2 linked regions of the Drosophila melanogaster genome follow. The protein of the gene in region 1 interacts with the protein of each later gene in a pairwise test. Each region holds a gene or a part of one and is shown on either strand. Other genes may lie near its edges.

Region 1 (5,711 bases):
TCAATATATTTCGTGAAATAGATCATCTCTCGCTCTCGTTTAATCCTCAACTCAGAAGACTCCATCTATCAGCTAAAATCAATGAGCTGGAGGCCACCAATTGTGATCTCGAGTCAGTGGAGTTGGATGGTCGAGTGATTGGTGTCCAATTGGAGGCAAACCCAAAGCTGCATGAGTTGAAGATTTCGCAGCCCCAGGATCTGGAGCATCTTTACTTGGCCAATACCAATCTGTATAGACTTGACTTTCTGTCCAAGGCCAGTAAGCTCGTTGACTTGGATGTAACGGACATTGTAAATCTCGCGGATTTACCCAAAATTACCTCAGCCAAGGGATTGGAAAGATTGAGTTTTACCTACGACAACTTGACTTCGAATCACATGGACATGTTGCCCCATCTGAAGGATCTCAACTACTTGGAGATAAGTCACGAGAAGGGAAAGGAGATCTTTATCAAGGATCTGGATGAGGATTTCTTTGTCGAGGAAGCGGAACTCAATTGCGGCCAGTTGGCGGATCTGTTGGAGTTCGTCGAACTGCCTAAGGACACAACCATTTTGGAAGATAGATTAGTTGGAGATCCTCGAGGGCCAATGAGATGTGGAATGGCATAGAAAAATAATCTATTAAATGGGAAATAGTATTAAAATTCCTACTTATTTATACTAATGAGAAAATATTATATAAATGAAACTGCATAAATTAAGCCAAATAAATACCATTTATTTGCCCCCTCTTTGTTTGATTTTACATTTACAACTACAAACACTTCACTTTAAGGGGCCAACAGAACAAGTACTTATAATTCGTCTTCATTAAAATTAATTAAAAAAGTGTAATTTTTGCATACTGTTTACAAATCATTAATCAACGCTATACAAGTTGAGATATTTTCACTTCAACTTTTCCGCCTGTCTCCGCAATTGTTTTCGGTTTGCAAACATTGCAGCCATTGTTTAAAAACGATTTGTCAATTCACCGACTCTTGTGATCGCTGAACTCGAACTTCTGAACTTCTGCGTTTTTTTATTTTTTATTACTGAATCCACGATGATCGGTGTCAGTGGAGCGCACAGATCTTGTCATCTGCGATCAGTGGTCATCGATTAGCGATCACTCCATTGGCCAGCGACCAGTTTCCCAGACGAATGTGCTTAGATCTGTCTCAGTTGATTAGCTCATATTGGACTACACAGGTGCAGTGGACTACGACTATGGTGCAGAGATCGCTGGAGAATGCCATTTGGGGTATTAGTAGCGCTCCCGATGCTCCATTTTGTGATGGGTAGCTGGATTGGTAGCGGGATTCGTGCCGGGAATCAGAGTATTGGGCAACTGAACAGGGTGCACAGTAGAAGATTGCTTTGGATTTGCTGAAGGCAAGGGCTCCTTTGTGCTGGCCACGTCGTCTACCTTGTTGTTATCCTTGAGGATGCTGTTTATGTCCAAACTGTCGGATTTGTGGTAGAAAAGATAGGCGGAAAACATCAGGCCCACCAGGGAGAAAGTAATGAGGGACCAGCGCAGGACTGAGTTGATTTTTAGGCCCCTAAAAAGATAATTAAAATATGTTATATAATTTCTCTTAACAATGTAGATTCCAACTTACAGAAATAGTGTGTATTTCACTAAGTTCGTGTAGGTCTTGTTCAACTGCACGCCCTCCTCCACCCAAAACATGGGCAATATCAGCTTGGGTAGATTCTTCATGGGTTCAATGCCCTCCACTGGCTCCATGTCCAGATTAAACTGCAAACGCTTGGCAGCCTGAAAAGGTGTTCCAGACATCTGAAGGGAGTAGAAATAGATAATATGCATGTATATTCATTACTCAAATTGCTTGCTTACAAGTTCAAAGTCTATGTAGACCGCATGATCCTTTTCATTCGGATTGAGACCATCAACGTCGGCAACCAGCTTTGGATCGCCCAGATAGAAATGAGGCATTGATGCCATCAATGGACCACCAACACAGGCCGCCAGATTCATAGTGCCCTTGGGCGGACACGTGTCCAGATCTTCGGGATCTTCGCAGAAACAATGAAGCTTCTCATCGGCACGTATATCCCCCAAATCCAGGGTGTATCTCATCGATGGCATGCCATGGTAGGATGACTTGTGCTGATAATAAGCGCCCAGGGATCTACACAAATCCGGCGTGAATGCCCACAGGCCATCCTCCTTTTTCAAGCCCGGTGCAAAGACCGTAGAATCAGTGCCCACAAAGGTGTTGCACTCGCCATCTGGCCAAATGTCTTGCTCCGGTTCGTCGGCGAATTTCACTACCTTTCCAAGCTTTTTGTTATTTTTCACTCCGCGACAGACAGTGAATCTGCCAGAATCCGAGTGATTGGCCTGTTTTTCGATGTTAATTGAAATTTCAGTCACTTAAGTAGTATTAATTGGCAGTATTAAGAACTCACCTGACCCATAAACGAGAACAAAAAGTGAGTTTGATTGACTTGTTTGGCCTGCTTAATTTCTCCCGTGTAAAACACGGTGCAGAGCGCCTTTGCGGAGAATTCTTCCGAGGAGCAATCTACGTTGATGCCGCGGAAAAATAAATCCATAAATTTAGCTTTCAAAAAGGCTTTGGCATCCGGAAAGACAATGCTTAATCCTTTGGAAACCAGCTCCATCATGGCAGCCTTTTCCCTTTGAACCGAAATGCCGCCAGGCTGTAAAAATTGGAAAGGGAAAAACATATAATCGCCGCCAATAAATCGCAGACTAAATTCAGCTTAGAATTACAGAACACAAAAGACGCCATTCTGAAATCCATTTCTATCACTCTTAATGGGTTAATTTTGTGGCTGCTATTTTGGGGCTGGGAATGCGATTTGCATAATTCACATGGCTAACAATGGGCCACGTGGTCATTAGCTGGCGCCTTAAGTGCAGTTTTCCATAGCTCTGACTAGAATCTCTAATTCCCAACGTTTGCCATAAAGTCGCTGATGCAGTGAGTGTTGATTTTAAATTTACTAACCATTTTTAGTAAGGTATAGCAGGGTATGGGATTGAATTTTATATGAAGAAATGGAAGAATATGATTGATTTAACGAAAATGTTTGGAAACTTGTATAGTTTCAAAAAATATGAACTAAACCATTTAATAATTACCAGCATTATGGGATGCGGCAAAATAATCTCCTCCTCGCCCGTAAGTGGCAGCGACTCCTTCGGGTTGAAAATGAACGTGTTCCTCATGGTGAAGCTGACCGTGTCCTCTACGACATCATCCTCCAAATCATACTTGTCCTTCCACTCACTCAAAGCAGGGAGAAACAGTGTTAGTTACTTGCTATCCTACACAATCCAATATATAGAAACCCACTCGAAAACGAAGGGACCCACTTCCTGTAGCCGTGGCTTAGCTCCTTCGGATACCTCATCCGGATTGGTTACGTTGAAAACGTAGATATAGAAATGCAGTGGGAATGGAGTATTGGACCAGAGTTCCCGAACATCCGATCCGGGCTTTAAAGTTACTTGCTATTGGGTGGGAAGCTATTATAAGATTTAAGCCGGGTATAACTCCCTCATCGATCCCACCTTCGATATCATAAACTTGAGAATTTTGGGAAAGATAACCCAGCCATAGATGATGGCAAACACGAACATGGCTCCCGACCCCATGAGCAGCTTAACCCGAGGTACTTGCATCTCTGGGCAATGTTTCGATCTCTACTCGATTCGTGCACGGAAATCCTTTCAATCCGATTGCCTCCTTCGAGCTGAAGACCAGAGGCTTTCACAGTCGCGACGCAACTGAATCGTCTCCACACTGAAGTCCGGAATCCCCTCCTCAAATCGGACGGAACGTGCGAATATTTTTCACTCAGCCATAGCAGCAGCATTTGCGGTTGAGGAGGCGGCAGGCCGGATGGCAAAACAATCAGATAACACGGCATTACTTATAAAATCAATAATTGCATGTATTTGAGTATTATAAATTGTTTCCACTTTACGCTCTACACTCCACGCAGTTTCGGCCATAGTCGGACGCACGAATGCGGTATAACTGGCTTTTGTTCATCTGGACCCTCGTCATCAAGTCGTTTTGATCGTACACCTATATTTCAATCAGACTTAATTGTTCGCATAGCCCAAATGGGCCAAAATGCATTGAAATGCATTTGATGTACCAACAAGTTTGGACTAGGAATATAAACAAGATCGTTTAATTGCCTTTCTTTAGGGGGAAGTAAAGGAATATCCTCAGTTTTTCTATAATTTGCAACCACTTCTATAAAAGTGTAACCCATTTTGGTTTTGAAATTGATATTAGCAAACACCATACATAACCCATAGATACGCATTAGCTACCCAAAGAACCTACTATCACCTACCTAAACGTTATGCACTTGGACTTGTAGAACTTATTTCTATACTTCTGTAATTGAATTTCGAAATGACTTATGCGACACCTGGCCTATATTCCACTATTAGCACTTGTTACCTTTCCTTGGAAACTTTTCTTCCCTAATTGCGGCAATTACGTTTTCCAATTTCAAGGAGAACCAATGCAAGTGTTGATGGCTAATTAGGGAAAGAGTAAGCCAGACTCGCGAGGTTTGATATTAGCTTGAGTGAGAAGAGCAAATATTTCTATTATATTTTGGAAAATTGTATTTTCTGGATTTATTTTATTTTAAATTTTCAAAGTAATTTATAACTTATTTGCTATAAGGTTATCCTATTCTAAAATTAGAAGCAGTTGAGTTTTGTAAAGACATAAGGCGTTAAATAATGCTAGTATCCATTTTTATTATGGCTTCACTGTCAAAACCTTAAAAGATACATTTTAGGCGTAAGCATCGAGTAAAATACTTCTTCATAAGTAAATCTAGTAAATACTCTTTTTTAATGATGTTCATGCAACTTAAACCTTGTTTTTACAGTGAATGATTGTATACACAGTTTCCAGACTCTGGTCTCAATATCTATGAAGTATCTAAGTATCCATCAAATCTGAAATATTTTCGTTGCCTTGTAATCTGAATATTTGTAGTGCGTAAAGCATTCTTCAATTAGCCAATAAATCCATTTAAGTTAGATGCTCTGCCACCTTGACCGGCTAACTGGGCTCGGCAACGCCCCTTTCAGTTGGTCGTTTGTTGACACAAACAGAAATCGAAACTGAAACCGAGTGCAAAACATAATGCATAACAATGGCACAAAACAAAAAAAAAATGAAAAAAACAAACAAGAAAACTACAGACAGAGAAACAACTTAAACAATGCCAAAACCCAAAACACGTGACTGCGCCATCGACTCGAGTTGCGTTGAGTTGACTTGAGTCGAGAAACATACATACATATATGTAAGACAGACAGACAGACAGACAGACAGAACCTCTCCAGCTCGCCAGTGGAAAATGACACAGAAAAGCGAGTTGCGGCGAGACGCGAGTGGAAATTGAAGCGCGCTTGACAACGGCAGCCGATCGTTTAGATACAGATACTTTGCCATAAGTTTCAGTATGTTCGACCAGGTTTCTTCGATTTTCTGCTGAGCGAATGTAAATTAAAATTGAAAATGAAGTGCCAGCGTAGCCAACAATTTGATTATGTTCGAACTGGAGGCGAAAGAGGAAATTCTCAATTTCGTTTGCTACCAATTATTGCTGGCCCAAATAGTTTTGAAAATGCCTAAGTGCTCAAGGGGCTTAAGATTGAGGTAATCCTGGTCTGGGTACATACTTCTT
Region 2 (4,136 bases), on another chromosome or scaffold:
CAAAGGACCACATCACCCGATCTAAGTAAACGAAGGCATCTCGGGACTTAACCCGCTCGCTCAATGGCTTTTCTTTAATGTGGGGAAAGAACTGGCTTAACATTTCGTCCGTGGCTCTTTTTGATTATTTGCTTGAGCTGGAAAACAGTGCTTTTTATAGGCCGCCTCACTGTTGCAAATGGTCTCACATGACTTGGCGATTTCAAGAACTTAAGCTTTGTTTCGTATTTGCTAAAAGTTTTCCGGGAATGTCACCGGGGAAAACGTTAACAAATGTATGGTTCCATTCGACCACAATCACCTACAAACTACACCTTCACACCTAAAAGGAAAATATAAGTAAAAAAAAAAGTTTAAAATCGATCAATTAACCAAGAAACTCTTCTTAAAGAGTTTGTATGAATTATACATTTCCCTTGTATTCTCTCACATATTTTGTTTTTGTAGCTTTTATATGTTTCGGTTTTTTTTTTTGTAAGTAACTACATTAGTTATTTGGCAATAATGCATTTTATTAAGTGGACAGTTGTGGTGTATCCGACCCATGCACCTTCCTTTGCGAAAAACTGCAGTATTCCAGTTTGTCTGGCTTTCAAAACTCTTCCACCCGAGGGCGCCACAAAGTTTGATATATATGAAAAACAGTGATATTACTAAATATTTATTAGGGTACAGCAATATATAATATAAAATAATATATATATAATATAATATAATATATAATATAATAGTAGCAGAGCTCGTCCCTCTCAACTTATTGAAACCTTTCGGCCAAGTTAAATTGCTTAATTACCGTAACCACAGAAAATGCCAGCTTCACCATCTATAATAACAAAGTAATTTAAAATAGGTGTAAAATCAATGATATATCTAAAATATTGACACCCACAGCCAAATTTGTTTGCATGGAAATAGGAAACACTCCACCAGCCGTGAGAGTAATGGGTTGCTGAAGATTGTGAAGAAAGTATACCAACGTGGATTTGTAGCGACGATCGGCAGAGGTCCAGTCCGATTGAAAGAGGCAATTGGACATTTCCTGGCAGTCATCGATAATCATGTTGCACAAATAGCAAAAGGGGAACGTCTCCATGGACACGTCGAACATAAAAAGGCAAGTGGCGACACCAGTCCAAAATGTCGAGAAGAACATTAGATTTATCATTGAGAGACCCAGTACAGTACCGATCAGGAGGAACTGCACAAAAATGGTTCCCGAAAAGACGGGTCGCAATGCGTCAACATAGCTAAGAAATAAAAAAAGGCCATTAATAAAAAGGAAAGGAATAGAAGAAAACTGTTTCAAATATTTCATTTTACTATGTCTTTGCGACACAGTGTTCTTGTAGCATTTGAAACACCTTACTCCAATAGCAATCGATGATCCCGAATGCACTCGGTGAGCTCCTCCAAGTACTCATCTTCGGTCCTTCCTGGCTTCGATCGGAGATTTCTCAGTCGCTGTTTCAGGAGGCTAATGTGGCATCGAGCCATAAGCATGGAGATCAAGGGACACACGTCCGTACAGAGATCCATGTAGATGGCCTCCGTCATCAGAAAACACTCGGCGATGCTGGAGATGTAAAACTGTTCGTCGGAATCGATATATGGAAAGTACATGCGCCAAGCATGGCGTCTCTCAAGCAGAAAATACGGGAAGTTCATTACCACGAAGGTGGAGTAAAAAATGTGATACAAAATATCGAAAAAGTTTCCCATGGCGACATAGCGATGAACAGTGGACCTCTCCTTATCGCTAAGGCATCTCTTGTCCAGCTGATCCAGTAAAACCTTAGCTTCCTGTCTTTTCTTGAATCCAATCAAGGTGAAGGCGCACTTAAAAGAGCTTCCGTACATGTTGACTCCAATCTCGAGGGAACTAAGGAACTCCCCCGCCGAGAAGGTTTTAAATCGGTGGAGGTACTCGATGCTTATCGAGATCGGCAGAAGGATGAGCATTACTATGTTCACGAACGCTAACCACAGTTTATAAGGAAGGATCCACCTTTACGGGAAATTATGGTAGCTTTAATACTTATATATGTGCTTACATTGATTTCATTACCTTTTGTTTTCAGGCTCTGTCCAGCCAAAGGACCACATCACCCGATCCAAGTAAATGAAGGCATCTCGGGACTTAACCCGCTCGCTCAATGGCTTTTCTTTTATGTGGGGAAAAAACTTGCTTAACATCTTGTCCGTGGCTTTGTTTGAATATTTGCTTGAGCTGGGAAACAGTGCTTTTTATAGGCTGCCTCACTGTTGCAAATGGTCTCACATGACTTGGCGGTTTTAAGAGCTTTAGTTCTGTTTCGTATTTGCTGTAAGTTTTTAAAGAATGTCAGTAGAAAATGTCATATGACATTTAATCGACCGCAGGTTACATTTCAGCTGAATGGAATTATGCTCGTTCAACGATCAGGAACTTAACAAGCAATTTACCGAGTAAAACACTACCAAAAATACATTAATTCGCCATACATCTTCATACGACCATACTGAACCGAATTCCCCTTTTCCCGCCCAATATCATTGCCTTTCGTCTGACATTGCGTTGACCATTGGCGGTGTTAATCAATGCCACCGCGATGGCATGCAACCGAAAAATGATTGCCGCCAAACACATTATCTGTATTATTAATGAGCTGCATGCCGCAGACTGCACTCGTGAAAAATATGCGGCTTAAATTTGATTTATAATTTCCGAAATATATTCTAAAAATGTATAAAAATGATGATGTGCTGAAGACCTTGAAAGGCACACAATGAATTAAATAGAAGAGATTAAACGTGTATCAATCATATTATAAATATATTTTATGTATTACAGCAAATCTTTAGACAACTTTACAGATCCCAAATGACTTTAAAACAATTTCAAAGATATAATATAAAGTTTGGACATCATTTAAGCTTTCGCTACGTGCATCGAGTGTCCTGTAAATTGGCATCATTGTTGATTGAGTTGATCGAGGGACCCGCTGCGGGTTTCCCCGACCAAACATCTCTCTTTAGAGCACTTTGCACAGCACATTGCATTCTCATTATAGCCTTGCTTTTCGGGTGTTTAATTAATTGAAAGCATTTTTGCCAGCGTTTGCGGCCGCTTTCCCTTTTGCCAATTTCACGGAGAGTGTGAAGCGTCGACCGTAATAATATTGACTCATTGGCGTTGAGGACGGACATCCAGACATACAAATGCACACAAAAGGACCTTCGTGAACATGCAAATTAAATGCATTCGGCGGAGACAACCCGTCCATGTGCCCGCCCTAGAATCTTTTGTCGGTTCTGGTAATTAATCGGAATATTTTACATTTTTTTTTTCCGGCTCATGGTAGAGAGACGAAATTTAAAATTCAATCAGCGTCTGCAGTGCGCAATCCAATTTAAGTTATAAAGATGGGTGGGTATTGGCAAATTATGATCCTTCCAGATCGTGCATTTTATTCCTAATGGGTATATTTTTGTGTAAACGATCGAAACGGGCTTTTTTGCATTTTTTAATTTTTAAGTTATCGCGAGTTTCACAAGCTATAATTAAATCATTGAAAAGTCAACTTAAGTAGAGGTTACACAGTTTACAAACTCATCTTTAAATCAACGATTCCTGGAAAATATACCATATGTGTGAATTCAGACTGATTCTCATCGTTGGTCATTGAAGTCTAGTCTAAATTGTGACCGAAACACCACAGAATATGGTACAAAAAAAGAAAACAACCGAACTATTACTATTATTTTTGGTTTTAATTGGCTATTCCTCTAACTAATTAAAACTGTGGCGACAGTAGCTATTATATGCTTGACTAATTTACAACATATTCCGGTTACAAACAACGTATACATAACATAAATTTATTGACGGCGATCTGATGACAAATGGATTGGTACGCACGCAAATATTTTGGAATTTAAGTGATTAAGTTTTTTAAGTGGTAATGTTTAAGGGTGAAAAATATATATATGAGAACATCGCTATTAAAGTAATGCATATACACGATAAATGTACTTTAACATATTTATTTTAGCTTGTTTTGGGTAAGTTCAACTAATTATATCAATATATGTGTAATTCCATACTATATTTTCTCGTAAACCTTTGGCCGCTCCACATGGCCATGCAGATTTTGGCA

What was found.
Region 2: the proteins of Snmp1 (region 1) and Or22a come close enough for resonance energy transfer, tested with the Drosophila melanogaster proteins (one study listed by BioGRID).

Annotation. Positions count from the first base shown.
Region 1 is NT_033777.3:21,164,463-21,170,173, forward strand, and holds Snmp1 (sensory neuron membrane protein 1), read right to left. Parts: upstream 3,744-5,711; 5' UTR 3,667-3,743; coding exon 3,556-3,666; intron 3,496-3,555; coding exon 3,338-3,495; intron 3,272-3,337; coding exon 3,124-3,271; intron 2,679-3,123; coding exon 2,424-2,678; intron 2,356-2,423; coding exon 1,849-2,355; intron 1,789-1,848; coding exon 1,610-1,788; intron 1,550-1,609; coding exon 1,252-1,549; 3' UTR 705-1,251; downstream 1-704. Other genes in the region: CG5810 (uncharacterized protein), read left to right, coding at 1-614. UniProt on the Drosophila melanogaster protein: Plays an olfactory role that is not restricted to pheromone sensitivity. Has a role in detection and signal transduction of the fatty-acid-derived male pheromone 11-cis vaccenyl acetate (cVA). Not required for sensitivity to general odorants.
Region 2 is NT_033779.5:1,518,670-1,522,805, reverse strand, and holds Or22a (odorant receptor 22a), read right to left. Parts: upstream 2,316-4,136; 5' UTR 2,194-2,315; coding exon 2,066-2,193; intron 2,006-2,065; coding exon 1,367-2,005; intron 1,248-1,366; coding exon 890-1,247; intron 824-889; coding exon 755-823; 3' UTR 650-754; downstream 1-649. Other genes in the region: Or22b (odorant receptor 22b), read right to left, coding at 1-103. UniProt on the Drosophila melanogaster protein: Odorant receptor which mediates acceptance or avoidance behavior, depending on its substrates. The odorant receptor repertoire encodes a large collection of odor stimuli that vary widely in identity, intensity, and duration.